4 linked regions of the Struthio camelus genome follow. The protein of the gene in region 2 purifies or fractionates together with the protein of the main gene of each other region. This does not show direct contact. Links are inferred from orthologs where the notes say so. Each region holds a gene or a part of one and is shown on either strand. Other genes may lie near its edges. The genes, in order: LSG1, VAPB, PITPNM1 and TACC1.

The links.
Region 1: the proteins of VAPB (region 2) and LSG1 purify together in Homo sapiens (affinity purification with mass spectrometry; 3 studies listed by BioGRID and IntAct, counting the BioPlex papers as one, with this or other methods). This does not show direct contact. The link is inferred for Struthio camelus from reciprocal best matches to the Homo sapiens genes VAPB and LSG1.
Region 3: the proteins of VAPB (region 2) and PITPNM1 purify together in Homo sapiens (affinity purification with mass spectrometry; 5 studies listed by BioGRID and IntAct, counting the BioPlex papers as one, with this or other methods). This does not show direct contact. The link is inferred for Struthio camelus from reciprocal best matches to the Homo sapiens genes VAPB and PITPNM1.
Region 4: the proteins of VAPB (region 2) and TACC1 purify together in Homo sapiens (affinity purification with mass spectrometry; 3 studies listed by BioGRID and IntAct, counting the BioPlex papers as one, with this or other methods). This does not show direct contact. The link is inferred for Struthio camelus from reciprocal best matches to the Homo sapiens genes VAPB and TACC1.

Annotation. Positions count from the first base shown.
Region 1 is NC_090950.1:18,428,945-18,436,476, reverse strand, and holds the start of LSG1 (large subunit GTPase 1 homolog), read right to left. Parts: upstream 3,007-7,532; 5' UTR 2,992-3,006; coding exon 2,911-2,991; intron 2,840-2,910; coding exon 2,722-2,839; intron 2,418-2,721; coding exon 2,297-2,417; intron 1,680-2,296; coding exon 1,593-1,679; intron 630-1,592; coding exon 543-629; intron 1-542. UniProt on the Homo sapiens protein: Functions as a GTPase. May act by mediating the release of NMD3 from the 60S ribosomal subunit after export into the cytoplasm during the 60S ribosomal subunit maturation.
Region 2 is NC_090959.1:13,524,992-13,531,838, reverse strand, and holds the start of VAPB (vesicle-associated membrane protein-associated protein B/C), read right to left. Parts: upstream 3,011-6,847; 5' UTR 2,985-3,010; coding exon 2,924-2,984; intron 1-2,923. UniProt on the Homo sapiens protein: Endoplasmic reticulum (ER)-anchored protein that mediates the formation of contact sites between the ER and endosomes via interaction with FFAT motif-containing proteins such as STARD3 or WDR44.
Region 3 is NC_090946.1:5,609,280-5,617,253, forward strand, and holds the start of PITPNM1 (membrane-associated phosphatidylinositol transfer protein 1), read right to left. Parts: upstream 3,001-7,974; 5' UTR 2,957-3,000; intron 2,701-2,956; 5' UTR 2,683-2,700; coding exon 2,605-2,682; intron 1,447-2,604; coding exon 1,232-1,446; intron 1,069-1,231; coding exon 947-1,068; intron 1-946. Other genes in the region: CDK2AP2 (cyclin-dependent kinase 2-associated protein 2), read right to left, coding at 5,019-5,086, 5,694-5,826, 5,908-6,008, 6,188-6,296. UniProt on the Homo sapiens protein: Catalyzes the transfer of phosphatidylinositol (PI) between membranes. Binds PI, phosphatidylcholine (PC) and phosphatidic acid (PA) with the binding affinity order of PI > PA > PC. Regulates RHOA activity, and plays a role in cytoskeleton remodeling.
Region 4 is NC_090968.1:7,287,479-7,294,934, forward strand, and holds the start of TACC1 (transforming acidic coiled-coil-containing protein 1), read left to right. Parts: upstream 1-4,448; 5' UTR 4,449-4,562; coding exon 4,563-4,720; intron 4,721-4,735; exon of another isoform or gene 4,736-5,213; coding exon of another isoform or gene 5,214-5,242; intron 5,243-5,581; coding exon 5,582-5,697; intron 5,698-7,456. UniProt on the Homo sapiens protein: Involved in transcription regulation induced by nuclear receptors, including in T3 thyroid hormone and all-trans retinoic acid pathways. Might promote the nuclear localization of the receptors.

The sequences.
Region 1 (7,532 bases), on a different chromosome or scaffold from region 2:
TATTGTATTACAGCTCTGCAGAGCAAACAAAGCCATTTCTGTGATGTGACAGGCTTTTGTGCACTGCTGCAATCTCTCTGCATGGCAAGCAGCCAAAGATCAAGAGGCTCTTTCTTTACAAACGTTACTTAGATGTTCTCCCTTGTCTCCTGCCCCTGAATGTCACGGTATGATTGTGCGGCTGAGAGAGGGGCAAGTGTTACTGTTGGCAAAAGACATTCTCAAAGGCACCTCCCACACAGAGTTACTGGAAGAGGCCAGAGCTGCAGCTGCTGAAGAGCTCGCGGAGACTCACACAGTGACCTACCAGCAGAACTGCAGTGCTGAGAGCCAGAACCGCACTGCTATTTGCTCCTCTTTCCAACAACATATTTTGATCACTTCAAAACAAAACCACTTCAGTGCTGATAACGAAACATTACTAACAGTACTTCTTTATTTTCCCTGTGCTTGGACACTTAATAATTGCTTCAAATGCTTTGGTTCGATGCAGGAAAAAACATTAAACATAATTTTCAAAAGCAGAGAGTGATATTCATTACCTTCTTTCAATGACTCTCCAAAGTTGACGCCAGAATTCTAAGTTTCGTTCAAATGGGGTGAGAATTAAGTTTTTTTCTTCCTCAAGGCTACGGAAAGAGAAAAAAGACATCATATTCAGGTCATGTCAGACAGTAATCACACCAGTTCTTAGATCCAGAAGGCTTTCCTTTCAGAGGAAGGTGTCAAAATCAGACTCTAATACTTGGCACCGTTTCTGCTGGTTTTACAAACAAATCGTGTCCAGGTACATCAGAGTCAGCGCCACTGGTTCACTGATGACACAATGGCTCCTGACCATATCAATGGAGAAACGACAAATGACAGAAAGGGCACAAGCTCATCAATAGACTACCTGTGACATTCCAGAGATGCAATTTTGAACCAGATCAAAGGAGACATCCCAAATGCCAGCTATCCTTCAGTAATCGCTCTGGTAAAAATAATCAATTTGGGAAACACTACTCGAAATGGCTCTAAACAAGTTTTGACTCACTGTTACCAGAGCCAGAGTGAGCTTGCTCAGGGCCAGCTTGGGTTCGCTGTGTGCAGAAACAACTTTCCAGACCAGCAGAGGCAGCGTGGGGCTAGCAAAAGCCACCAACATGCAGGGCCAGCAGCACCAAGCTAGAAATTCAGACCAGCACTGTTACTCTTCAAAGACACATATTCATCACACCTCCACCTAACAGGCAAGGGCAGGACATCACACCCCATCCTGAACATGAGCTAATCACAGCAGCAATGTTGAATGCACTGCCTTTAAAAAACTAGATGACACAACTCAGAAAAACAGAGGGAAGCATGTATGGGTAGGTACTACAAGAATGTGGACTGTGAACACTGCAGAACTTGCACGCACAGCAAAACTACGGTCAGCTCACCACAAAGGTGCGTCTGGACCGTGGCTGGGATGCCCAGCCTTTCAGAAAAAGTACAGTGAGCAGCTGACGAGATTATCCTTACGTGTCCAGCAAAGATAAACACAATCGCCTGCTCCTTTCATCTCCTCATCCCGCTCGCTACTTACCAGAGACAAGTGGCATACTCACTGGGCAAGCTGTCGTCTCCATTCCAGAAAGCTCTCTCTCTCAGCTTGCTTCAAGTCCTCTGCACTGGTTGTGCTATCCCAGTACGGCCTTAACAATCGCATTTTAGAATAAGTGGTCAGAAACACTAGTGCAGTTATACCAATAACGTTAGTACAATAAGCATCCAGGGAAAACATGGGCAACACATGTTTCAGCTACACTGAGACGGTTTTTGTTACACGTGCATGCACCTGTTTTCAGCAGTTTGAAGTACTCCTTGTTCCCTCTGAACTCCACCATCTAAAGTGATGGGACGCTATTCCATACGCAACAGATCTCACAGAGCTAGTTTCCCCAGCTAACATCTGCAGGGCATTTAAGGCAGGGGATTCATCTCTCTGTCCAGCACACATGGAGCTTCAGAAAGGCTTGACAGATGGAGACAGCCTGGGGCACAGAGGCACCAGCTCCAACAGTGCCAGGCTGCGAGCAGGAATCCCACAAAACCAAGGCAGAGGGGCTGGCAGTACCTGTGCGGCAGGCAGGCACCTATAGCTGCGGGTTACAGCAGGTCTGCGCACACCAGGTAGTTGCTTCCCCAAAAACAGGGTTTGGCAAGCAAAGGACAGTCCTGTGGCTCACAGCCATCAAAGGCTGAGCTCCCTCAGCACAGCCAGGCCCAGTCCAGCCCCGCTCCCGGTCCGTATGCGAGGAGCACGACTTGCCTCCGAGGGATGCGCAGGAACTGTCGGTTCTGCTCATGTAGCTGCCGGACACGCTGGGCCTCTTGGGCAGTGAGGAGACCGGTGCGGGTCTGGGCGGACACAAACTGGATGTTCAGTCGCTCTGTGGGAAGGATGAGAGAGACCAGGCACAGTCACCCACAGCACCTGCTCTCCTCGCCCCTGCCCCGCTGACGCCGTCACCAACCCGCGGCCGCTATCACCGCTCCAGCCCTGCTGACGGCCCCCGCTGGCTCGGGCCCCCCCTGCCCCACACCAGCCCCAGCCCCCTCTCCCTGGCCCCGGGTCCTCTCTGCTCCCAGAGCCGCTCCTGGCCGCCAGCCCCAGGTCCCCGGCCCCAGCCCCGCTGCCCGGACGCCCCTCCGCGGCCCCAGCCCAGCACCCCTCCCGCTCCCGGCCCCGCTCACCGGCCACGAAGCGGGTGCCCGCCAGCTCCGCCGTGGCCAGGAACTCCTCCAGCGGGCTCTGCTCGGCCGCCGACCGCCGCTCCGCGCCGCGCTCGCCGCCCACCTCGCTGGCGTGCAGCTGCGGGACAAGACGCCGCCGTGAGGCCGGGCCGGGCCAACCCTCACCCCCCCCCGCGCCCCCCGCCCTACCCATGAGGCGGCGCCGCGGCGCTCCGGGCCGCGCTGCCGCAGCAGGCAGCGGCCCAGCCCCGCGCTCCGCTTCCTGCCCATGCCGGACCCGCCGCCGCCGCCGCCGGAAGCGGAAGTGGAGGGGCGGGGCCTCCCCCTGCCCGCCTCGTCCGGACGGCGGCGGGCGAGCACCGCACTGAGCGCTCCGCCGCCCCGCGCGCGCCGCGGAACAAGGTTCCGGGCAGCGCCGTTCCGGCCCGGCTCGCCTGCCCCGCCATGGCGTTTCCTAGCCCCTCGGGCCGGCCGTGGGTGCGCGTGCTGGCCTGCCCCTCCATCCATCCGTTCATCTGTTCGTCTGTTCGTCCGTCCATCCGTCCGTCCATCCGCCCATCCATCCATCCATCTGTCCATCCATCCGTCCGTCTGTCCGTCCATCTGCCCATCCATCCATCCACCCGTCCATCCATCCATCTGTCCACCCATCCATCCGTCTGTCCATCCATCCGTCCATCTGTCCATCCGTCCATCCATCCATTTGTCCACCCATCCATCCGTCTGTCCATCCATCCGTCCATCTGTCCATCCGTCCATCCGTCCATCTGTCCACCCATCCATCCGTCTGTCCATCCATCCATCCGTCTGTCCATCCATCCGTCCATCTGTCCATCCGTCCGTCCATCCATCTGTCCACCCATCCATCCGTCCGTCCATCCATCTGTCCACCCATCCATCCGTCCATCTGTCCATCCGCCCATCCAACCATCCATCCATCCATCCGTCTGTCCGTCTGTCTGTCCGTCCATCCGTCCGTCCATCCACCCATCCATCTGTCCATCCGTCCATCCATCCATCCATCTGTCCATCCATCCGTCCATCCGTCCGTGTGTCCACCGACAGCTGTGCCCTCTGTCTGTGCGTCCGTCCACACTCAGCCCCTTGGCCGGTCCGCCCGTCTGCCCACGCGCTGCCTTGACCGCCCGCCCGCGGCACGGCCCCGCCGTCCGCCGTCCGCCGCGGACCAGCTCTGGCCCCAGCACCCCGGGCTGCCGTGCCAGCCCCGCGCCTACGCGGGCAGGTTAAACCTGGAGCGGGTCTAGGAGACCGCTGGAGGCGGCAGCCGTCCCCGGGAGCCCAGCGGTGGGCAGGGGCGAATCGGGCAGCCCGGCTCCGCTCACCGCCTTGGCCTTGCGCCGACGCTGTCTCCAGGAGGCAAGTAAGGCAGTCAGGTCCGCAGCCGCGCCTTCGTGCTAGTACCCTTGCCGTCGGGCGGGCAGGTTGGGTACCTTTTCCCGATGGAAGCTGCAGGCTCGCTGGGACGAGGAGCCTCGGGCGTCACGCAGCGCTGCTGCCGGGGCGCCGGCTGCCCGTCGCCGGTCTCCAGGCATTGCCGCACAACAGATGACGGACATGAAGAACGGTGGTGACAACCCCGTGAGCCAGAACGGACCTATGGACTTAAAGCTTTTCTCCGCCTTGTAAAACACAAAGCGAGACCAGCCTGCTGATTCACCTTTGTCCGATGCTCCATTCAAGAAGCCAAATACAATAATCTCCCTGTTTCTGGGCCAGTAACAAAGAGGGATTCAGGGATGCAGATGTGCAAAGTGCTTTAAGAGACAGCTGCTAATATCGAGCCTTCACATATCTTTAGCACAGAAGATATTGCCTGCCCAGCCAGGGAATCATCAGACGGGTTCAAATAGCAGCCATTGCAACGGGTCCAGGTCAAGATGGGGGAGAAGGGTAAATTAATAAACAACTCAACCTGTTCTTTTGAGGTGAACTGATTTATGAACCATTTCTCCTTTATGGGCATTGGATTAAAGCCAGACATTTCTTACTATAACTTTGTAGTGCGTATTAGTTGTAATCAGAATAATCTATCTCACCCCCTGAACATACAGGCGCTGCCTACATTCAGAGGCAAAGCTGTTTCTTAACTGTGGCTGCTAGTCCTCAGAAGCATGCCCGCATATAACGCTTGGTGGGTAGAAATGGCCTTCTCTCATGCTTAACACACGCGATGCCTCCCCATGATAAACATTTGTTATAAAGATGCAGCACTTCCTCTATTCTCCTTTCCAGAGTCGGCAACTGTAAAGCACAATTTTCCCAGAGCAAATCTGAATCCCTGCCATGCTCATCCAAGCTCTCCCATCATACACAACCTGCCCCGTTCCCTCCTCTTCTTCCAAAAGGCAAAGGAGGAAGATGAAAGGGAAATCAGTGTTTGCGTTTTCATTACGAGAGGTGCTTCAATGGAAGGATGGTGAGCTGCAGACAGCACACGGTGATTTAATAGATTCATTTTTAATCAAGTCCTGGCTTTAATAAAGTCATTTCAGGCCTTTCTGCAGGCACAGAGGCAACAATATGAGCACTCATTACCGTATTTCTTTAATAATTCAGTTAAAAATTACCTTCCTTCTACACTGCATAACCATCAACCAGAACAGCCAGACAGCCCAGCCTTTCCCCACCGGCTGGCTCTGGCAGCGCTGGCAGCCCGACGCCCAAGGCGCGCGTGATGCCGTTCCCAGGCTGGCCAGGGAGACGGGTAACTCTTTCATCCCTTCCGCGCAGGCCTGGCGCCGCGGCTCCTCGGCGAGCGACCTGGTCATCAACGCAGAGCGGCCGACGCCGGGCTGCGCGGGGCCCCCGGGCTGCGCGTCCGCCTCGGACGGCACCGGCGGCTGCCCGCTCCTGCAGCGAACGCCCGCGGGATGAGGGCAGCACGCGGCCAGCGACGTTAGCACGTGGGGCGCTGATCCAACTGCCGATGGCCCCCAAGCGCTTCCACGGGGCCAGCGTCCTCCCCCAGGGTCCTCAGCTTTTGCAAACGCTGGCGTGGCAAGCGCCAGGCCGTGCCCCTGCCAGCCGCCTGTTGAAGAGACAAGCAGACGGAGCTGGAGCCGAGGGAAAACGAGCCGGCAGCGGGCGTTGGGTTAGAGCGAGGCTCACGCTTTACCTGCGGCCTGCCCAGGACTGGCTTGCAACGCTCTGTGCGCACCCTGTAGGCAGTGAGGTTTGATGGTAACTGGAAAAGTGAAGATCTATGAATTTTGAGTGGGATTTTTTTTTTTCCCCCCCATGCATTGCTAACTTGTGACAATTCCTCGTTTCCAGTCCTAAGCGCTGCACGGCTGGTCACTGTGGATATTATCTGCCACCTTGGTGGGAGCTGCTGAAGAAATGCCCAAGTTGCCCTCATTCTTGCCACAGATATATTTCTAGGAGCTTCGTAAACCCTAAGGAATTAGTTTTGTTTGCTGATGCCAGCAGCACAGTGCGTCAGCGAGGACTGCTTTGAGCAGAACAACGCTGAAACACATATAGATTAGGTGATCCGAGCGACAGAGACATCGGAGCCTCAGTTAGATACTTCATTGCCTATTCTTAATTGCAGCATTTCTCATCCCACTCGTATTATTCCGTTGCGCCGACCTGAGCAAGAAATGTTTCGTCAAACGCGACAATCTGCTTCTCCTAGAATGTGTTCGTGTATGGATTTATCACCCAGCGTGAGAAAGGCCACTGAAGAAGAGATACTGTCTCGAGAGTTATACAGCGGCGGCCCGGGTACACGGGTGCGGGTGTCAAGAGCTTAGACAGCTGACGAGAGCACGGAGGAGAGCGGTATCTGGCCGATAAGTTCAACGAGCTTTCGATTGGCAGACAGCTCCCGGACGAAGCAGCCGTTACTCTGCGGTCCAAAGCGAGCGCAGGTTTCACTACTGGGCCTCACTTTTACAGCTCAGCTCTAAGAAAGCCGTTGGCAGCGCAGACCCGTGCTTGGGCTGGAGCACAGCACCGTCCCTGGAGAAAAGGCAACACCTGTGTATCACCAACACTTCTCACAGCCTCTTTGAACTACATTACTTGAGTGCCAAGTACTGCCGGCTTTTTGGAAGGTGGCCATAGCTTGTGGGACTTTTCTTGCAAAAACTATTGCATAGATGAAGTAAAAGTCTGCTCTCCTAGTGCGGTGAAAGCAGCTTCTCATGTCAAAAAGACTGGCTCTCTTCCCAACTTCTTTTGCCTCGGAGCAAAACCACTGCTCCAGTTTTTGATGCAAATCCTGAGAATTATTTAGTAGCAGGAGCTCGTTTTCAAAAGCCAATGACACCAGTGCATTTTGCCTAAAGGAAACATTGTTCTTTCTGGACAACTTTTCCTCCATTTTCCTCTAAGGCAGCACTGGGAGATCTCAGGACTGTGTCTCTAAAATATTCATGTGATGGCCATTCATTATTCATGTAGTTTCACAAGGCTTGATTCAGCGGTATTACCAGCTCGATCCTGAAGAGCAGATATATTAAGAAACCCCCCAGAAACACCTCCCTAAAAGAACCGGAAAACAATTTTGCTCCGTGCAAAATTGCTTCTGTTGGAATCTCTCCCTTTTCAGCTGCAGAAGGTAGTGTTTCACGAGCATAGGAAGAGATGGGCTTGAGGCGTTTATCTCAGCCAGGAGGGCTGCTGCCAGGCTTGTGGACACCACGCGTTCCCGCCAGGGTCTGCAGAGCCGCTGGAACAGGGCTGGCCAGCGAGGGCATGTTTGGAAAGGCCGTTCCTGCAAGTGGCCTGGGATCAATGGGGAAAGCGGGGGACGTGCTGCGTCCTGTGCCTCCTCCTCCCCGTCC
Region 2 (6,847 bases):
AGAAAAAAAAAAAAAGAAAATAAGATATCCCATGTTCATGTAACAACAACCAACAAGATGTGTAACTGAAAGATGTATAACTGATTTTCATAGAATCACTTTTCATCAGGGTTAGTTTCAAACTACAGCTGTAGCTTTCCACCCAGGGGCTATGCATACAACCCTTCACATTTGAAGATCACAGTATTATCTCAGAATTTGCCACGCTCCATTTCCTATTCAAACACCAGCGCTGTATCAATCTTTCCTAAGAGTGCCATTCTGCAGTGTAGTGCATTATAATATCCCAGATCATTTTGGTAATAATACAAAAGCCTGAGAATTAGGTCAAAAGAACATGATGTCAACTCTATTTACATTTTAAATAAGCTTCATCACAATAAAAAAACATGGCACATGCTTGTAACAGCAAATCCAGGCTGATCACTTTTTGTGCATCACGGTACTTTCTCTAAGTTTCGGTTACTGTAAGAAGCAAGTGATACATGTTACACAGCTACATCATTTGCACAGAATCTTAATAAAATTCTTCTCCTCTTAACCAAACCTCCTTGCATCAGCACCACAAGTTAACAACCCTCACACACGTGTACTTCTAATGCAAATATGACTGCCGTAACCTAGTTTGGCGTGTGAAAGGAAAGTTAGCGCGAGTGTCAACAGAAGCAAAGATTTGGTAGCAGAGGCTTTGGCAGAAACTTTCAAACCAAAGAGGCATAATCCTCTGCAGACTTGCACGTGCACATACTACTACTATATCTTCAGTATTAACTGCTTATGTTAGTTGGGCACAGTCCCACGGCCACGTTAGCCTTGCAGCAGTCTGTCTTGCTCTCATCCCCATCGTTTACCTGTGCTACTTGCACTGTGCTTGTCGAGCTGACAGACAGTCAGGTTATGGAACTGCTTAGGCTGAAAATTAATCCAGTAACAAGAAAGGGTGAGGAGGGGGTGGCAGCGGGAAAGAGAAAAAGGAAAATCAGTTTCCAGGCAGACCGTGCAGCACTCAGAAAACAGCATCAGGAAAACTGCATCTTCCTGCACTACAGACTTCTGCCAAATTAAGGCAATGAGATCTCACATTTAGTAAGCTAAAGCTGGCATGTCTAGGTGTACGCACTGCAGTCACACTTTTCCTTGCCATGCTGACAGGTCTGTTCAAAGTAATTAAGGCACGTGCCTAACTCTCTGTGTCTGAATCCAATGCAAATTCTCATCTGCTTAAAGCTGGGCATCCCCTAAACAATTTACTGAACCGGTGCCTTTCAGAGCAAATGTGCTGCAGTAGCACTCGATACAATCTATTCACTGAAGTGATGTTAAACTGGCAATCATTTTGATTAACAAGGCTAAGAATAAATTCTCAGGAAGTTGCCCAAGTTATTCCCAGAATGTTTTAGATGCATTTTCATCACCTTTCCCCAGACAACAATTTTTGCACTCCAACTCAGTAACACAGACATATATCCAAAGGCAAGGTAATTGGTAAAGGCAGAAATACAACCAGTGCTTCTGCTGAGGCAATCCCTCTTGCTCCTTTGTGGAAAGTAGCAGAAAGCAAGAATAGGAGGAGAAAGACTTATTTCACCACTGTCTAATCCTGTCCACGTGTCAGACGGAAGTCATTAATCACCTGGCATATACTGGTCAGCCACAGAAAAGTAACCACGGAGCCTTCAATAGGTGGAGATTAGGAGAGGGGGAAACCTAAATTGTTTTGTAGCTATTCTCAAGAGCCCAAATCCTACTTATTAGCAAGATGTGTCCTGACTGCTGAAAGTCCACATGGACCAACAATTCATTCATCCACCGGAAGAGTCAGGTTTACTATGTGCATGCATCTGGGGGTGGAAGTACAGGAGGTGAATATGACACTTCCCTTTCCCGTCACAGACCTGCTGCTGGCCGCAGGGCATGGAAATGCCTCCCCAGCAGCTTCCTCAGCCCCTCACACTGGGATGGGAACTTACTGCAGAGCCTGAGTAAGCATTAGCACCCCCAATGAAACAAACATCCAAAAGCTCAGGCATGCCTCCATCTGCATGTTTCAGCCTTTCTACTTAGAGTCCTTCTTACCATCGCACCTCAGTTGTTTCTCAGTTTCCTTATTACGCCTCTGACAGTATCTGAAGTCACCTTACTGTTTTGTTTCCACGTTTTTCTCCCATTTTATCTATGTGGGACTGTATCAGCAACAGAGATAGTCGAAATAAAAACACTGATGGCAAAACCAAAGACTGTCAAGAGAGCTCAATACTAGGTGCGTAACCCGACTTACTTTAAAGTCATATATAAAGTTGATGACCTTTAAAAATAAACACTGAAGTGAAAAAAGCTGAAATGTCAAGCAAGACGTTTTGAGCTGTCAGCCAGGTGCCTGCGAATCAAGAACATCTAAGATCCAATCAAATTCTCCCACCATCTTACTTGTCTTTAAACAAATCACTTAAGGGCTTGATCTTCTGCTATTAAAAGCCTTAAGAGTTGACAGCGACTCCAAACAGAAGCAGGTTTGGACCCTTATAGTTTCTCTCCCTGTGAAGTCAGGAGAATACTTACCTAATTACAGAGAATCTTGTGAAGATTAGTGTTTTAAAAAGCACTGAATGCCAAGTTTTAATCATCATCATCATCTGACTCTGGAGACCTTTCTAATTAAGTGAGCATCAGCAACTTTTGAAATCAAAGTCGTCGAAGAATGAAAAACAAGAAGTGCCTCTGTTGCATAAACATCTTATTTCAAAAGTAACTTACTGAAAGGATCCAACAATCCCAATTTGTGAACTACTTTTAAGAAAAACTCAGGCAGTTCTTAATTCCTGTGTAAACCATTCCTGTGTAAACCCTTTCAATCTCGGCCCAGATTTCACATACAAGCACCTAGAAAACTGTGCCCTTGTGGGATCATTTTCTTTACTCTTACCATGACTATCCTCACCCAAAGGAGCCCTTGAAGTGAAGTGGAAGGGACGGGAAATGGTCATTTTCACTTTTGCTGTGCCAAGCAGTAGAAACCTTGATGAAAAAATTATTACAAAAATTAAAATACCATCCAAATCGCTCCCCGTGCATTAGTTTATGCCAAGGATTATTTTTTAAAAATTATCTAATTGATAAAATAATCCCAGACTGAAAAAGAAAACAGAGAAAAACAACTATACTACATGTTCCACATGCCAAACTTGGAGCAGGGTTTACAGTTTGTAAATTATTCCATTTGGATGGATTAATCAGTGTCCTTCTCCGGCCTGTTTTGGCACAACCTGTTTTTGCCAGAGCATGTCTCATGCTTAATGGGGGGGAAAAAAAATGACACAAACACAAATATGAGACTGAAGACTATTTTCAGGATATCAATTAGTATATAATGTTTGTCACCTTCTACATCTTCAGAAGAGGATTATTAACTGTTTGACTTCGCAGTTTTAAGAACTATGAAGCCATACATAAGCTTGCCAAGAGAAAGGAAAGAACACGCCCTTCAAGTAATTTTTGTAAAAGGCTCATTTGCTTGTGCTGATTTCTTCAGAATTTTATTACATCCTACGATTATTTACAGATATTGTAAGCAACAAAAGCACGCAAGCAGAAATATCTTTTTCTGCATCCTAAACTTCAGAGAGATTTATTTCTGCATACAATGGAATAAACAAGGGACTGACAGAAGAATTGGCTACCTTTCAGAGGTATATCTCTGTCTCAACAGTGCTTTCACATCCTGAGTCCCAAACACACCACATTACATTGCTCATTCCATCCGCAAATATGATCTATACCACCTCTCTCCAGGTATGAAAAAGAAAATAGTGGCATACTCTCTTTTGACAGCGGAACAGTTACTACAATGTCATGGTTATTGAAAGAGAGGCAACAGTGATACCTGCTTATTCTACATAGCCAGAAGCCTCACTCAAATGGGCTGGCGGATGTTGAAAGGATACTGAAACTGAGTCCCACACCTACACCGTTTTACAATTTGTGTTGTAAGTAACTGGATCACCAGGCAAACCTCCCCCTTCTCTATTTTTTCCACCCCTCGTTGTGGAAACCAACCAAGAAAAGAGGATTAAATTTAGAACGATGAAATCTTTAATCCATAGCATGATGGCAGGAGGCACTTCATTTGCAGCTGAGAGAACTAGTCACTAAAGGAATTTAGTAAAGAGATTATTTTCATAAAGCACTTCTAATAACGTGAGATAAAGTACTGCAGGCTGCAGCAAGACCCAATCTATAAAAAATTTTTTGAGGCCAGATGAATTAGAGTTGAGGTAGGCAATTTTCAGAGCAGTTAAAACGCAGGAAGGACAGACTCAGCCAACTGAGTCTGGAGTGTCTTGCTAGTGTAAACAGTCAGACACTCCTATCCATGTGCATTTTACTCCTACACTGAATTAAACACGGAAATGGTGATTTGCTTTACAGGCATTTTCAATGGCAGCAAAACTGTGACAGCTGTTTCAGACTGATGGCACAAACTGCCCTCTGCGACAAGGTTGCCCAGCAGGCCACGTTTCCAAACTCAGCAGTAGTCCAGGCATATCAGAAAATATCCTATATGCCTTCTGCAGACAAACCGTTTCCATTTCGGTCTACAAGGCAACGGTATGAAAGGATTTATATATTTAATAAATATTGGGTCAAAAGCCCTCTGGCAGATTTGGCATGAGTCTGGCCCTTACTTTAGACAAACTGGTACGTAAATCCTGGTATACAAACACAAAAGAGGCTGCTTTTCTGCCCTGGTTATCACGTGGAAAGACAACGAAGGGAGGCCTCAGCGCTTCTTATTGCGGGAACTGTCTTCACAGTGCAGGACTTCCTCCTTCAGAGAGGAGAGAAGTTGAATTGGGAAAGAGTCCTTAATCTAACCATATTGTCACTTAAATCAACGAGAATTTACTCGGAGAAAAAAATGGCTTCTAGCAGCACGATGATAATGGGAAAGATCATACTCCCTACAAAAACAAAGATGAAATGTCAGTCTGAAACAACAGCTGTTACCACAAGCAAAACTGTTACAAACATCATCAATAAAGCTTTCAAAGCCAACCAACTGCACTGACAGAAAAAGTAAAAAGGCTGTTATTGTACCGACTAGTACAACTGACAGAGTTGCTTTCTATAGTTATTAATTGTCGCCAGCAGGGAGCAAACACAAGACCAATATGGTAACAAGAGAGTGAAAAATGAGTGCGACTGTAAGATGTGGGCAGAATTAGCAAGGGTCATTTGATCCCTGCATTGTCCCCAGCTAAGCAAAAAGCTGTGTTTAGAGGCATTCTGAAAGCAAGAAAGAGAAAGTCTCAGGTCACCTAGCTTCTACAAAAATGACACTGCAACATATGTAGAAGTTGCTCATTTGACACAAAACTCATCTGATGCAATACCTGCCAGGGCTGGATGCATACAAATCAAGCTGCTTTTAAAAATGGATATTTATTCATAGATGTAGGCTGCCCTAAGGTTGGACAGTTGGATCATTCACTATGGTGATTATGCCATATTTCCAGTTGAGTTTCAAAGCAGATCTGACAATCCATTCAAAGATTCACACTGCAATTTTTACTACAATCCAGGCCTAATTCTGAATATGGCACAACTAAACAAAATTCAAGCTGATGTTCAAACGTAGCTAACCTATTTAAAATGAAATCAAGCGTTCCTGCACAGCCACTGTTGATAAATTTTTCATTTATAAAATCTGTGGAGTGAGGAAAAAAAGAAATGTGATTTCCAGTGAGAAGGAACTACCAGAAAACTCCTGTGCAAATCTGTACTCCTCATCGCTCTTTCACAAGTGACACGACACTGCACAGAGCATGCACGGTAACAATGTGTACACAGTTAATTGCTAAGCATCTGTGTGAACTGCATCTGCTATGATGCTTTACCTGTGTCATCATTCTGACATGATGGCCCCATTCCTCGAGCTTATGGCAGCCACCTTGTACCTTGTGTTTCCATACACATTTTCAATATAGTCTGTTCCCGGATATATTTTCTGGAGAGATGAACAGAAGACAGACCCCACCACCCAAATCAGACAGGCATTCTGCCACCTTGGTGGACTTTAAATAATAAGCTCAGAAAACTGGTTTTTGCACATCACAGAATCACAGAATGGTTGAGGTTGGAAAGGGACCTCTGGGGATCATCTAGTCCAACCCCCCTGCTCAAGCAGCATATCTCCCAGGATCATGTCCAGGTGGGTTCTGAATATCTCCAGCAAAGGAGACTCCACTACCTCTCTGGGCAACCTGTTCCAATGCTCTGTCACCCTCACAGTGAAGAAGTTTTTTCTCAGGTTCAGGTGGAACTTCCTGTGGTTCAGTTTCTGCCCGTTGCCTCTTGTCCTGTTGCTGGGCCTCATCCTCTTGACACTCCCCCTTCAGATACTTGTACACGTTGATGAGATCCCCTCTCAGTCTTCTCTTCTCCAGGCTGAACAGGCCCAGCTCTCGCAGCCTTTCCTCAGAGGAGAGATGCTCCAGTCCCCTCAGCATCTTCGTAGCCCTCCGCTGGACTCCCTCCAGTAGCCCCATGTCTCTCTTGTACTGGGGAGCCCAGAACTGGACACAGTACTCCAGGTGAGGCCTCCCCAGGGCTGAGGAGAGGGGCAGGATCACCTCCCTCCACCTGCTGGCAACACTCTGCCTAACACACCCCAGGATCCCATGGGCCTTCTTAGCCACAAGGGCACACTGCTGGCTCATGCTTAACTTGTTGTCCACCAGGACTCCCAGGTCCTTTTCTGCAGAGTGTGATTGTAATGGTTCCATAGCTCAAACTGAGCAAGTGTTTCCACCTTAAACACCTCTTTTAAAAGAGGGGTTAAGATTTTAAT
Region 3 (7,974 bases), on a different chromosome or scaffold from region 2:
CCTCCGCGTGCCTATTTTAAGGCCTCCATTTTAAGAGGCGGCGCAGCACGCTGCGCTCCAGCACCTAAAACGACGAGCTCTCCACCGCCCAGAAAGGGAGATTTCAGTGACAAGCGCCAAAACCTCCCTGCGATAGCTGAATCCCACCTGAGCATCCAGGCTCTCCCACCGCAACCCCGCTTTCGTGCTTCCTGGAAGCACGAGAGTGATGCAGGGAACGGGGTGGGGGGTGGGGGGGGAAAGCAGGGAAGCGAGGAGCAGGGCGGAAGGAAAGGGACGGGGGTGCTCGGAGGGAAGTGATTTCATCTGTCTCCTCCCGAGACTCGCACCCGTTTTCTGCGGCCACTTTGAAGGAAGGGAGTCGTTTCCAGCTCCCCCTCTTCAGCTAAGCCCTGGCCTGTCCCTAAATCCCCTCCAAGAGCCCTCTGTGGGTTCCCACACGCACCTGCTCTTCTTGGAGAGGACACAGGAAGGCGAAGCTGCGCCAAACGACAGGGGAGAGGGGATGGGATAAGGAAAGAGGAGGGAGCAGCCTGCCACCAGCTCCGCTGCCAGCACTGGGGTGTCAGGGCCTGGGAAGGGAAGAGCTGGAAATACAGATACAGCCCAGGGAAGGCGGCAGGGGACAAAATCGTCCTCCGTTAACACTTCTAACGCGGAAGCTATTTCATCCGTGCGGCCTGAGCAGGGAGATCGGGGCACACGTGCCTCCCGCTGCCGCAGTCCCCACAACTCAAGAGACCCCAGGGTAAGTAAAGCCCGGCTTGTTAAAGACGCTGAGCCACGAGCCACCCGGAGGCACCCGTCCAGTGCCGCCGGGCACCGCAGGAAGGCAGCACGCACCTCTGCCTCGCTGCGAACTAGTTCCTACTCAGCACCCCAAGCGAGGCTCGCAGCGGCATCCCTGCCCCACGGCGGCCCGGAGGCCAGCAGCGGAGACGCCTACCTAAAATCCTCTGCCTCTTCTCGGCCGCGCTCAGGTTGAAGACGTTCGTCTGCTGGCCAGAGTCCGGCCGGTAGTAGGTCTCAATCTCGATGGAGAACTTCTCCACAAAGGGGCAGGTGTACCTGCGGGAGGAGCGGGAAGGGGGCTGAGCCGGACGCGGGGTAACCGAGTCCAGCAGCTCGCCCCGCTCTGAAGGCCACCCATCGGGTCGGTGGGCCCCCCGGGAAGCAGAGACAGGGTGGTCCCCCGCGTCGGGAGGCGCGCAGCCCCCCGTCGGCAGCCCACCTGGTGCGGGTGTAAGGGTAGGCGTTCCAGGACTCTTCCTCCACCTGCAGGGCAGCCTTGGGCAGCAGGGCCCGAAACCAGCTGGGGATGTGGGAGCCCACGTGGTAGATCTTGTGGGTGTACTGCCCGCTGCCCCCCGGGCCGTCGCTGTAGGGCCGGTTGGCCAGGATCTCCACGCCGCTGCCCTCTCCGCTCGACTCCTCCCGGCTCTTCTTCTGCAGGGCAAGGGGTCGGCCCGAGCTGCACCCCCCCCCACTCCGCCACGGATCGGCCCCCCCCCCACCTTACAGACCCCCCCCCCTCCCCGTTCCTCACCCAGCCTTCTGCCCCCGCACCTCCGCGCCCGCCCCAGGGAGCCTCGCACCCCCGAAGCCCAGCACCTCACAGGCGCCCGCAGCCACCCACGCCCCCCCAGATCCCTATTCGCCCAGGCAGCCGCCCCCCCCCGCCCCTGCACCCCCCGACACCCGCTCCAGCCCCACGCTCAGCCTTGTTGGTCTGTGTCCCTCACCGTCCCCCCCCAAACCTCACTCCCACCCCTGTACGCATAGCAGGCTCACTGGTGCCCCACGGCCCTGCACCCCCCCCCCACCTCCGCGCTCAGCCCCACCACCCTGCACCCCCCACCTCCACGCTCAGCCCCATGGCCCTGCGCCCCCCACCTCCATGCTCAGACCCACGGCCCCGCGCCCCCCCCGCCTCCGCGATCAGCCCCACCACCCTGCGCCCCTGCACCCCCTCGCCTCCGCGATCAGCCCCACCACCCTGCGCCCCTGCACCCCCCACCTCCCCGCTCAGCCCCACGGGCCCTTGCACGCCCCGCCGCTCAGCCCCACCGCCCTGCGCCCCTGCACCCCCCGCCTCCCCGCTCAGACCCACCGCCCTGCACCCCTGCACCCCCCCCGCTCAGCCCCACGGCCCTGCACCCCTGCACCCCCCGCCTCCACGCTCAGCCCCACCGCCCTGCGCCCCTGCACCCCCCACCTCCCCGCTCAGCCCCACCGCCCTGCGCCCCTGCACCCCCCACCTCCCCGCTCAGCCCCACCGCCCTGCGCCCCTGCACCCCCCGCCTCCCCGCTCAGCCCCACCGCCCTGCGCCCCTGCACCCCCCACCTCCCCGCTCAGCCCCACCGCCCTGCACCCCTGCACCCCCCCCGCTCAGCCCCACGGCCCTGCACCCCTGCACCCCCCGCCTCCCCGCTCAGCCCCACCACCCTGCGCCCCTGCACCCCCCACCTCCCCGCTCAGCCCCATGGGCCCTTGCACGCCCCGCCGCTCAGCCCCACCGCCCTGCGCCCCTGCACCCCCCACCTCCCCGCTCAGCCCCACGGGCCCTTGCACGCCCCGCCGCCCCCGGAGGTGGCCGAGCCCACCTGGATCATGTAGAGCTGAGCCACCTGGTACTCCTCCAGGCTCATGGGCAGCAGGATGTGGTACTCCTTGATGAGCATGGCGGCGGGGGGCAGCGCCTGCGGCCGGCACCGCCGTCAGCCCCCGGCCCGGCCCGGTCCGGCCACGGCCCGGCCGCCGCCGCCGCCGCCGCCGCCGCCGCCGCCGCCGCCGCGCTCCCGGCCCCGCCCCGCTCCCATGGCAACGCGCCCCCTCGGCTCGGCCCCCCGGCCCCGCCCCGCTCCCATGGCAACGCGCCCCCTCGGCTCGGCCCCCCCCCGCTCCCATGGCAACGCGCCCCCTCGGCTCGGCTCGGCCCCAGCGCTGCCGCCGAACCTGCGCTGCTCCGCACAGGCCCCCTCGGCCTGTGACATCACAGCCCGTTCCCCTGGAGACGGCTGTGACGTCGGAGGCGGGGGGGGGAGGAGGAGGAGGGCGGGTGGAAAACCGTGACATCAAAGCGGGGAAGAGGCGCTGCGCCGGCAGCCCCGTCCGGGGTCGGCCGGGGCCTGAGGCAGGGCACCTAGAGCAGGGCGGTGGGTTAAACAGCCGCGGCTCTCTTGGCCTCTCCTCACATGAGAGATGCTTCCAGTCCCTTAATCGTCCACGTGGCCTTCGCTGGACTCGCCCTCAGCAGGTCCATGAGGAGCCCGGACCCAGCACCCCAGATGTGGCCCACCTAAGGCTGAGCAGAGGGGGAGGACCACCTCCCTCGCCCTGCTGGCCACACTCTTCCTAACACAGCCCTGGATGCTGTTGGCCCATGGTCAACCTGGTGCCACCACGACCTACAGGTCCTTCTCCGCAGAGCTGCTCTCCAGCTGGTCGGCCCCCAGCCTGTCCTGGCGGCTGGGCTTATTCCTCCCCAGGAGCAGGACTGTGCGTTTCCCTTTGCTGAACTTCATGAGGTTCCTCTCCGCCCATCTCTCCAGCCTGTCGAGGTCCCTCTGGGGTGTCAGTCAGCCACTTCTCCCAGGTTTGTGTCATCCATGAACTTACGGAGGGTGCGCTCTGTCCCATCATCCAGGTCACTAATGAAGATGCTAAATAGTATCAGCCCCAGGGATGCACCGCTCGTGGCTGGCCTCCCACTGGACTTTGTGCCACCGATCACAACCCTCTGAGCCCGGCAGCTCAGCCAGGTCTCAATCCACCTCAGCGTCCGTTTGTTTAGTCCGTGCTTCAGTGTGTCTTACGGGACGGCGCCGAAAGCCTCACCACCATTGAGATAAACAGCGTCCACTGCTCTCCTCTCTGCCGCCAAGCCCATCATCTCATCGTAGAAGGCCATCAGGCACGACTTCCCCTTCCTAAAGCCGTGCTCCAACCGCTCCTCCCTGCCTGCGCCTCTCCTACCCTGCCTACCTCTGCCTCTTCCTGCCCCACCAGGCTCACCTTGGCCTCTGCCAGCACAGCCACGGTCCGAAAGCAGCTGCTGCCCTTGCTTTTCCCCAAAGACATGTTCCTCACCGGTCCCCTCTGCCTCATTGCGGGGTTAACGCGGGAACACTGGACTCGGTCAAGCCCCTTTCTTGGTCACCCACACCTCATAGCTCTAAGGGAGCTCTAAGATGTCCCAGCCTCCTCAACCTGCAAACGGGCCTTGTTCTCATTCCAAAAATAGCCCTGCTCTACTAAAAATCCCTTTCAGCTCAGTGCTCCTCCTGCAGCCCCATCATCCCCTCCCCGCACACAGAAAGGACGCCATGTCACCTCCGCGTCCCCCAGCGTACAGGGTGGCTGACCCCACCACCACTGTTGAGCTATTCAGCCCTCCCTCCTGGAGCAGACAGCACCCACTCCCCAAGCGCGGGGCAGGACACACGCAGTGGGGCAGCACGATGGTCTCCTTGCAAAACCCGTAGCTCCAGACTCGGCCTGGCAGGCTGCCCTAGCGCCTGGCCCACCGGCGTAGCCTGCAGGGCTATGCCACGCACGTGGCTTATCTCATCGTGAAGCGCAGGGCTGGGCTCCAGCAAAAGAGGCTCTCCTGACCCCAAACGCGAGATTAAGCCGTGCCAGCTCCTCCACAGCTTCCGGGCTGAACTGGGGGAGCAGCTAGCCTTGCCACCTTGCCCATAGCAGAGGGGACGAAGCACAAGGGCCAAAGGCAGAGCAGAATCCCAACAATTTCCTTTATTTATAAAAACAAGCATTTATAAAGAGAGAAGAAAAGCCCTGGAGGTGCTCGCAGCACGCAGCAAAAGGCCGGCCTCCCGGCGCCGCCTAGCAGCGGGGCAGCTGCCGAGGATCAGGCGGCCGTCAGCTAAAAAGGTCTGTACGGAGCGAAGGGAGAACCAGGCTCTCAAGACACTGATTGGTGGCAAGGTTCACGGGGATGGACGACCTCCAGGTCTCGGATGCAGAGATGGACAGAAAGGTCCATAAAGAGCGGCTGTTACGTGCGTGCGTTTCGCTCTGTCTCCGCCAGGCACTCTCTCACCAGCGCCCGAGCGTGGATGATGCCTACGGGGAGAAGCACAGGGGACACCGCGCGTCAGCCGAGTCCGTAACCGAAGGTCCCAGCTCTGCGTGTGTGTCCCCCCCCCAACCCCCCGACATGTTCAGAGCAAGGGGAGAAGGAGCCGGTGGGGTAAGCAGAGCTCAGTTGTACCCCTTCCCCTCCAAGCCTGTGCGGGACGGAGGTTCTCCCGCTGCTGTCACAGCGGAGACTAGCAGCAGAGCACGGCGTCCCGCATGGAGAAACCCGAGCTTTCAACCCGGGCCAAAACATCTCCTCTGTCCCCCCCACCGCCACCCCACTCGGGAGAAGGGAAGGGAGAGAACCGCAAGAATAACCAGCTGCCGCTCCAGCCTCCGACGCCAAGGGAGACGCGCCAGCAGGGCGGCACCGCCAACGCGCCTGGCGCGGCGACAACGCGACGGCGCGCTCGTACTCGGAAGATGACAGCCCCTCAGACACCCGGAGCAGCGCCGGTCCGCTGGCGACGGCTCAGCGGGCTTCGTGCATGCAAGGCGGGGGGGGGGGGGGGGGCTTTTCCCTCTGCGACAGCGGGCCCCCCAGCTGGACCCCCCCCCCGCCCAAAACCGGAGCGTCCGGCCGGCCCCGTACCCCGTTTCAGCCGTTCCATGGCGCTCTTGCTGCCCGCGTAGGTGGGCCGGATCTCTTTGCCCATCTCCTCGATGACGGAGAGCAGATCCGTGTAGGTGCTCTGGGAGCCCTGCGACCCGGGCGGCTTCATCGCCTGCGAGGGATGGGGAGGAGAGGGGTGAGGGTGGCGCGGGCAAGGCCTCTCGCCCCGCTCCCGCTCCCGGTCCCAGCTCACCTGCACGTAGCCCATGGACGGCGGGCCGAAGTCATTGAAGAGGGGCCGGAAGGGGGCAGCGGCTCCAGGCACGGATCCGGACGGCGACGGGACGCTCGTGGCTGGCGGCGCGGGCAGAGAAAGGGCAGGTTACCGGCGAACCGGCTGCCGCGGCCTCCCTCCCTCCGACCACCTGCCCCCTCACCGGGCCCGGCTGCGGCCTAGCATCCCCGGGGGGGGGGAGGGGGGGAGGAAGCCGCTGCCCCACGGTTTTCCCGGTGTGTGGGGGAGGGGCTCTCACCGGCGGGCGGGGCCCCCGGCCCCGGTGGGGCGGGGCTGGCGCTGCTGCTCGTGCTGGTGCCGGCGGTTCCGGGGGTGGCGGGGGCGGGCGCGATGGGCTTGTAGGACATCCCCGACGGCGCGCGCCGCTCCCGGCTGCCCGGCCCGCGCGGCGGCGGCGGTTCCGGCGGCGGCGGCGGCTCCGGCGCCGCGGGTTGGTGGGCGGCCCCCGCGCGCGCCGCCGCCGCCGCCGATTGGCCGGCCGGCGCGGAGCCTCACGCCGATTGGGCGACGCCGCCGCTCACCGCCCTCCCCCCCCTCCACCTCCGCGGTGATTGGGCCGCCGCTTTGCCCTCGCCACGCCCCGCCCCGCGCCGGGACCCGGCGCCACGGGGTCGGCTGCCCCCACCACCCCCCCCCCCCGCAACCGTCCGCTAAGGGCGGGTGGGCGCCGGGGCCGCGGGAAGCCGCGCCGGCTCGGCCGCCCTCGGAACGCCACCCGGCTCGGCTCGGCTCGGCTCGACGCTCCGCTGCCCCCCGCACCCGGCGTGACCGCTCGCCCTGATGACGCCGCCACCGCCTGTGCGCCTGCGCGCCGCCCCGCTGACGTCACCGCGTCGCCTCCCTCCCTCCCCCCCCCTCACCCCGGTCACCGTGGAGACCCGCGGCGTCGGCTCGGCGCGGGGGGAGGGGGGGGAGGCAGCGCTCCTGACGGGACCCGCCGCCTCCTCCCTCCCCACCGGCGGCCTCGCAGCGGTGTCGCCGCCACCGAGTTTGGGATTGGAGACCGCCTCCCCCCCCTCCCCTTCTTCCTCGCCCTTTCAGCCCCCCCGCTGTCTTTCCCACCGGCCCCCCTCCCGGCCCCCCCACCTCCACTGCCGGCTGAAGAACGACCAGGATTTTATTCTCCGTTTCTCCCCCTCGAGGGGTTTACGCCGTCGAAGAGGCCCAAGCGCCGCCGAGGAGCGCTCCCTGGCTTCCTTTGTTGGGGGGGGACGGCGGGGTAGGAGGGAGCAGCTCCCAGGGCCCGCACTGGCCCCCAAGCTCAAGGCCGGGAAGCAAAAGGGGCGCCTGGCCCAGGCGAGGTGGGACGGCGGGTAGAGCCGCGCGCACCTGCCTGGCCCTGGGGCTGAGCAGCGCCCGGTAGGGCTTGGCTTAGCGCGCACAGCTCGGAAGGAGGCAGGCCCTGGGCGACGCTGCGAAGTCAGCCCCAAAGTCACGACGCGGCGGCGGCCGGGGGCCGGGGGGGTGGTTGAGGGTTCGGCGTTAACGGTTGGATACCGGGGCCGAAATGAGCGCCGGAGCGGCGAGCCAGCAGGGTCGGAGCGCAGGGAGGGAAGGACGGGGAGGTCGGAGCTGGACCACAGCTGCAGGGCAGGGGATGGAGACGTTTCTCCGGGTTTAAGGGAACGGCAAGCCCGAGTTAAGGTTAGGGTAAGGTTAAGGGTGGGGAGCTGCCAGGTTTGGGGGGCAGCAAACAGGACAAGAGGGGTTGCAAAGCGGGGAACTCGGAGAGACATCAGAGCCGTGCAGCGTAAACCATCCGGCGCAGAGATCAGGGCGAAAGCAGCCAAAGCCCTGCCGAGTCTGCGTTGAAAGGGCTTTGGTGCGGACCCAGGCGCGCTGCACCGCGTTTCCAGCTTGGCAGCAGGGCAGGCAGGCCGCCAAGGATGAGTCTGAGCAAGTCCAGTGCTGACGAAGTGAGGGCCTTGCCTACAGGGCTCGGGCGTTGCGTTGCCCCAGCCCAGCCCGCGCTCTGGGGCTCCTCCCGCGCTGCAGGCTGAGCTAGGGGTCTCCTCTGCAGCCCCC
Region 4 (7,456 bases), on a different chromosome or scaffold from region 2:
CAGCCCCAGCACCCCCAGGGCTGTGGTCGCCTGGGGCCGCGGGGATGCTCCCATGTCAGGGATGACTGTCATGGGCTGGGCGCTGTCAGGCTGATTTAACTATCCAGAAGAGAGGGACGAAATGGGAAAAGGTGGCAGCTCCACTCCTACGTGCCAGTTTTACTGGTCCCCTCCCCTTACAGAGCACCAGCTATGCTGGATGATGCCAGGGCCAGGTGCTCAGCACCCTGGCGAACCTGTCCCGACACAGACCGCCAGCTTTCTCAGCTGCAGAAGTCAACAGGAAACATGCATTTTGTTTCTTTAATTATTGTTGCAGTTATTGGCGGAGGGGGGAGTGGAGTTCAAAGCACGTGCGCTGCAAAGCCAACAGGGTCCAGGCATGGCCGGTAGCTGCAGCCTCTGCCGAGGACGGTGCAGGCAGTCACAGGCTGTTGCAGCGTCACCGTTGCTCTTGCACGGAGGGGTGGCGTGAGCTGCCTCGCGGGCCGTGTGCTGGGGCTGTCTGTAGAAGGAGCGAGCGGGACTGGTGCTCTCGTGACGTTTGTTGACGTGAAGGGGGCTGTGAACCTGAGGCAGCCCGAGACGTGCTGGATCCTACCCCCAGAGTCTTTGCTTTTTCAGAGGAACAAAGTATAAAAACCCGAGGTACTTGTTTAAAAAGAGGCAGCTCCAGGAAGCAGAGCTATTTGTCTGCCAAACGAAGCAGGGCACCCATGACGGGTCTCCTGGGACAGGGGACACCAGGCTGCGCTCTGCCCCGGCCGAGGGCAGCCCGCAGGGGCAGCACCAGCCTCTGCTGTCCCACGAATTGGCTTCTCCAGGCTGCCAATGGGAGAGGTTGGGGCACCTTGGGCAGGACGGTCTAGGCTGTACGTCGGTGCGTGCCGCCGAGCCCGCTGCGCGTTGGTGCAGCGCCGAGCCCCGGCCGGGGGTGAGGGATTACGGCAGTGCGAAGGACGGCCTGTCCAGCTGCTGTGCGTGCAGGCTGCAGCTCGCCACGGGGCTTGTGCGGTGGAAACTGCTGGCAGGTCCTGTTTTGAACAGGTCAGCTTCCTCTCTGCTCTGCAGAAATGTGCCTGCTGACTATGCAAGCAGCGTTTGGCAGCCAGAGCCGCTGGCCTGGCTGACAAAGTCAGGTTATCTCCTCCGTGTTTGATCTGCTGCCGGCTGGGTTCGGAGCCAAGCTGGAAAATGCCACTCGAGGCATTTTCTTAATTGCTCGTAGGAAATGGCAAGCGGAAGCAGGCTCTGCTCTTTAACTGCTCCAATATCTTCCTGCCCCAGGGCGTGCAGGTCAGGAGCTTCGCAGCCCGTGCCCGTGCGGTGCCGTTCAGTCCTGCTGCTCCTGTCCCTGCTCCTTCCTCGTCGGTGGCAGCTGGAGGAGGGTCCTCTCTCGGCAGCGGTTTGTGCAGCCTTCACAATAGAAGGATGCCGCTAATTTCCTCTGCGGTTGGTTCATGTGTCCCGCTTCCCTCATTCAACAAGTGGGGGGTTATAAAAGTAAATATCTATATTCTTGGCTGATGTAGACCCTTCCTCTCTGCAGCAGAGGCGAGCCGCTCAACCCAGACCAGCTGCTGCTCCTTCGCCATTCACATTTCCATTTTCCCCGTGCGGCGCCGGCAGGACTCGAGCAGCCGTGTGCTGGTTTCACATGCAGCGATGCAGATGCTGTAGCTGGGTCTTCAGGTTCATGAAATGACTGACAGAGGGAGAGGGAGGAGGAGTTCAGGTTGCAGTGTGTCGTGCTGCAAAGCAATTCATGCCACAACACATGCCTTAAAAATCTCCTTATGTAAAATTCATCTGCAGAAATCAGCCTGCGCTCTGCCACTCCGGATGGTGGGAAGCAGGAGGCTGCTCGTTTCTGCTCAAAGCAGACACAGCCAAGAGGATGCTGAGCTTCAGCCTCTTGCTTTTTGGATAAGCTTTAATAAGGCGCTTAGTCCGCTTGTGGCTCAGTGAAGCAGGTGTGAGCTTTATCTGGCTCGGCTCTCTGCAGATCGCGGCTGGGTGTGTGGGTGCAACATCAGATCACTGCTTGGACGTGTGGCAGTATGCAAATGATAGCACCTCTGCTTTGCCTGAGCCAGAGCCAGAGGTGTTTTGGGGGAAATTTGGAGAAGTTGTATGGTGGGGGGGGTAAGAGATTTTCTTTTGACAGAGTCTTGACCATAAAAGAGTGCAGCAATGACGCATCTGTTTAATAAAGACACCAACAGATGGAAGCTAGGCAGAAAGGTTCCCTGCAGGGAGGTTATTTGAGATGCTCCATGACGAGGAATGAGGCCCTTTGAAGTATCTGATAGAGGCTGGTTTTAGAGCGAGGTAGCCAGACCAGATGGGTGGGTCTCGGCTGATTCAGCCATGCAAAAGCATTCCTCGCGCGCAGAGCTAGCTGATGATTCACAGAAAAGCATCAAGCTGTGGTCTTGGCCTGCCACGTGAGCACTTTGTGCAGTTACTGAGGGCCAATAGCACTTCTCTGCAATGAGCTGGGCTGGGCTGTACAACCGGACAGTAGTCTTCCCTTTCCCAGAGCTTCCTCGGACCCGCCAAGGGCAGCGGGTGGGGAGCCAGCCTTGGGCGCACAGTGCAGATGCATTCACCTGGTCTGGGCAAGCCGCCGGCTCCGGGAAGCTGTGGGCACTGCGGCAGCAACTGTCCAACGCCAGTAATGCCGCTGCCTGCAATAGATCTGCTGCCGAAGCCCTTGACGCGCCTCCTGGCACTGCGGCCGCTGCAAGGCTGCTAACGTTAACACTTCTCTCTCTAGCAAGCAGGGGAGGTGACGACCTGGAGAGCGAAGCCCCCAGAAGGGGAGGATGCCCCAGGGAGGCCAGCATGCCAGTATTTAGTTCTTCAGGGACTGTTTGCTGTTATTCTTAAACAACAATAGTTTAATAAATAAATCTGCTGTCATGGAAGGATATAGCATCAGCCAGAGCTACTGAAGTCGGCATTTCCCTGGAAAATAAAGGGGCAGGTGTTTCCCGGTCTCTGCTGCCTGTTCCTTTGCTTCTCCGCATGTTGGATGCCTCAGGAGCACTCTCTGCTCCGCCTGATCTGGGCTGCCACTCTTGCACGGGAAGCAAGGCTTGCTTGTGGCCTGCTGGCCACATGGGGACCCCGTGCATGAGGACCTCGCGTGCCTGGGCCGGCCGCTGCGGTGCTGCAGCTGGGGCGCAGCGTTTGCTGGCCTACGCGGTGTGGAAGGAATCTTGCAGCTCGCCTCGTGGTGGGATATGTTACAGCACAGGTGCAACCCTGGATAAGTGTGGGATAAATCAGGGAGGGGAGATCTGGTTTCAGAGTCACCCTGCCCTGGTGCACAGGGGTTTCCTTTGGCCCAGTGTGGTGTGAGGGGCACGAAAGGGTAGTGGAGCATCCTGACGTGAGCATGTGGAGGGCGACAGTGAATTAGGCTCTGGTATCTGTCTGGGATTTAGGAGCAATGTGCATAAGCCTGGCTGTGGGTTGTCAGCCTGCATTAACCTGCCCACAGGGAGCAGTGGAGATGCCCCTCCATGTTTAGCATTTGTGCAGAAATAAGTGGTTTTGAGAGTTTTTGGGTTAGGGTCTCCGTGGTGCACAGCCTGTTTCCTAAGCTGGGCTTTGTTCCGTGCGAGGAATGCAGCGGCGGGAGCGGAAGGGGAGCCCTCCCGGCACGGCCTGCAGGTGCTCACCTGGAGAGCGCTCGGCATCTGGGGCGTTTTGCTGCTCTGGACAGCCTGACCGGGAGCAGGGGAGAGGAGGGGCAAAGCAATCAAATGTAGCACAGCGAAAGCCTGCGATTATGCACTCCCAGCCCTATCCCATCGCTGCGGCACGGGTGGGAGGGGAAGGGGGACGCTGCTGCGGGCTTCCCTCTTCCCTCCTCCCCGCCCGGCGCTTGCAGCTCGGCGAGCCCGCAGCCCGCCGGCGTCTCCCGGCGAGGTCCGACCGAGCCGGGCGCCGCAGGGGAAGCGCGCTGCGGGCAGCCGGGCCGGCCGCGCTCTCCCTGCCGCCAGTAGTACCGTCCGGGGGGGCCGGGGCTGCGCGGCGCCGGCTCTGGCAGCCGGCTGATCCCCGCGCCAAGGGGCTGAACGTGCCGCCGGCGGGTCCGCGCTGAGCGCCGGGCGCGGCTGCAGCGGGGAGGCCGGCGCGGAGCGGCGCGGAGCGGGGCGGCTGCAGCGGGGAGGCCGGAGCGGAGCGGCGCGGAGCGGAGCGGGGCGGCTGCAGCGGGGAGGCCGGAGCGGAGCGGCGCGGAGCGGAGCGGGGCGGCTGCAGCGGGGAGGCCGGAGCGGAGCGGCGCGGAGCGGAGCGGGGCGGCTGCAGCGGGGAGGCCGGAGCGGAGCGGCGCGGAGCGGAGCGGGGCGGCTGCAGCGGGGAGGCCGGAGCGGAGCGGCGCGGCTGCAGCGGGGCGGTGCTGCCGCCCGCCCGCCTCCGCCTCCGCCGCCGCGGGAGGAAGGCGCCGCGCGGCGCGGCCGATGCTCCGCGCTTAACCGCCTCCGCCAGCCGGGCTCGGGGGCGTCCGGCGCCCGCCGCCTCGGGGGGGCCCCCCCGGCGGAGCCGGCCCCATGGCGTTCAGCGCCTGGCAGATCCTCTCGCCGGTGCAGTGGGCCAAGTGGACGTGGTCCGCCGTGCGCGGCGGGGCCGCTGCTGGAGGTGAGGATGGTGGGGGAGAGCGAGGAGGAGAGGACGACTCGCAGGCGGAGAGCAAATCTCTGGGTTTCAGGCAAGTACGCGGCATCCCTGCTTCGCGAGCTCTCGGGTGGTTGCGCTCGTCCCCTGCCCGTTAACCTCCCGGCCCCGCTGCCTTGCACGCGCGCTGGCACTCTTGGCACGGCACGTCCTCTCGGGGACGGGGGCGGAAAGGCTCGGCGGTGGCGCTCCGTGTCCTGCCTGCGGCGCCCGCCCTGCATGCGGAGCTGCTCCCGCGAGCGTCATGGCTGTGCCGCGCGCGGGCCTGCCCCTGCGAGCCCGCCGTCCCCTCCGCTCCCCGCGCGCTGCGCTGCTCCGGCTTGCTTCCTCTGCAGCGCCGGGAACCTGCGTGGCTCCTGGGCGTTCAGCTCTGTGGATTTTGGGAACTGTTAGCGTTAGGGAAAGGCAGCGGGAACAGAGGGAGACTCTGGGCTCTCGGTGAAGATGCTAGCAGGCGTGGGGCAGGCAGATGGAGGCTTGTTTTCTGGACTTCCTAATGCTCCAGCCCTCTGGAGCTGTAGAGGAAGATGTGGGCTAGGCTGCCACGTCCGTGGAGGTCAGTAATGGGTGCTGAGAAAGACCGGGGTGACGGGGAGGTGTGACGAGAGCAATGTCGGGGGGAGACACCTGGGTGCTCCAGACGCATGGCCCAGGAGCCGGGCTCGCTCGGCCGGGGCTGCGCAAGGGGATGCTTGTGATGTTGTTTCACCTTCTCTACCTTTTCCGTTTGCTAGCGTGGCCTGCTGGAAACGGAAGAGCAGCAGCCGCAGGATGCCTTCTCCGGGTCGGCCGGTCCGGCCCAGGAGCCGGCCTGGCTGGATGTGTAGGGCATGTGAAGGATGTCGGAGCTAGCCAGGAAAGCGGTAATTCCTCACTGTTTTCCCCCCCTCGGCAGCTCGGACTCCGAAGGTAATTTTGAGACCCCCGAAGCAGAAACACCGATCCGCTCGCCCCTAAAGGAGTTCTGCGAGCCATCGCTGGGATCGCGAGAGCCGGAGGCTGGGACCCAAGGTAAGGCGCAAGCGTGCATCTTCTGCTTTTCGGTTTTCTGCTCCGGATGCAGAAAAGCGGGGTGGGGTCAGGGAGGAGAAGTTGCTTGTGTTGAATAATGCCTGCTGCATTTTTTGTGGTTAATGGTCTGGATGGTTCAAATGCCAGTACTGGGGGCTGTGTGTGCTCTGCAAAGGCTGTTCTTTAACTGACGTTAAATGCTGACTTTACTGAATCATTTTGGAGGGGAGGGGGCTGTACTGCAGGCTTGAAAGAATCGGTTGGGCTCCCCTCGGCTCTCGCCTGTGCAGCCTGAAATTATCATGAGGCCGTTTTGCAATCACCGGTCACGCTCTCCTGCTGTCCCCACGCCGAGATAGGGGGTGAGCGTGCGCGAGGCTGCAGAGGGCAGAGATCCCTAAGTCGGGTTTGGGGAGCCGCCCCGGCAGAGGCGGTGCCCGGAGAGGCAGGGCCTGCAGCCGGCCGGGCTGCGATGGATTGATCTAGAGGAAGAGAGGGTTTTGTTGAGTCATTTTGTCTTTTAAACTGCCCTCTCCAACTTCCCCCTCAGACCTTGCCGGGCTCAGTAATACCTCCCGCTGCCTCCGGGTGTCGGAGGGCGGGCGGCGGGAGCTGGCTTGCGCATGCTTCGCCTGCCACTTGCGGTAGGAGAGACCTGCCCTTGTCACAAGAGCTGACGCGATGCTGCGTTCTGCTGTCGGCAGCCGAGCTTTCATCGCACAGATCCTTTTTCCCTAGAGTTAGTAGCCTGGCCTCTTCCCTGCGTATCTGCTGTTAAATATGTGAAAACCTGAGACTGCTGAACCCCATTACTGGAGAAATTGCCAGGGACCTTCGGAAAGCCCAGGGGATTTCCTTTGCCCCCAGGAGCCCGTGCGGTAGCCGCTTTATCTGTGCGTCTCGCCACAGGCTGCTGCGTCTCTGTGCGCGACTCCCCGTTAACCCTTGGCCTTTCTGAGCACCACCTCCCTCCCCTTTGGCTTTATCCCCCCCTTGGAGGGGTCTCGCAGCTGGCAGCACGGAGGGGCCGGCCCCTGGGGCGGGAGCCGGTTCTCGTGCCGCAGCGACGAGGCTCCGAAGCTCTGGCATCCCTAGCGAGCGCAGAGGTTATCGGAGGCAGGGCTCCGGGGAGGGGACGCCCCCTCCTTCCATCCGCTCTTCCTGCAGAGCAGGATGACTGGGCAGCGTCAGGACGCGGAGACGTCCGTAAACGCCCAGGAGCGTCGGCCGGAGGGAGGCCTGCCCCAGGCGCCGGCGGCATCTCCGGGGCCGGGAGCCCCCGGGCGGGTGCCCTGAGCCGCGCTCTGCCCCGGGCTGCAGGGCAGCCCCTGCTCTGTTCGACTTTGGGCATCTCTCCAACGCTCATAACAGCGCCCGGTCGCTTACCAGCACCCAGCGGCTTCCTGGAGCACCCCGGGTTTCGGGGATGCGCTCGCTCGCTCAGACCGCACCCCGGGACCTCATTACCAGGACAATTCCCTTGCAGGAATTAAGATCATTTCTGCAAGAGCTTCTGTTCGAGAAAGTGCTTTGCTTCAGACCCTGGGGAGTTACTGTCCCAAAAGTCTGAGAAAGTATGTTTTGTGTGCGTGTTTCCTAGGAAGAGCAGTTCCTAAAAGCAGTGGCCGAAGCCAGGACCCAGCGCACGAGTGGGCTGGCCAGCAGTGGGCCGCGGGCACGGCACGCGCGCGTTACCGGGCCGCGCAGCCGAAGGCAGGGTGCTCCCCAGGGCGGGCTGCTTTCCTGCTCGCTTTATGGA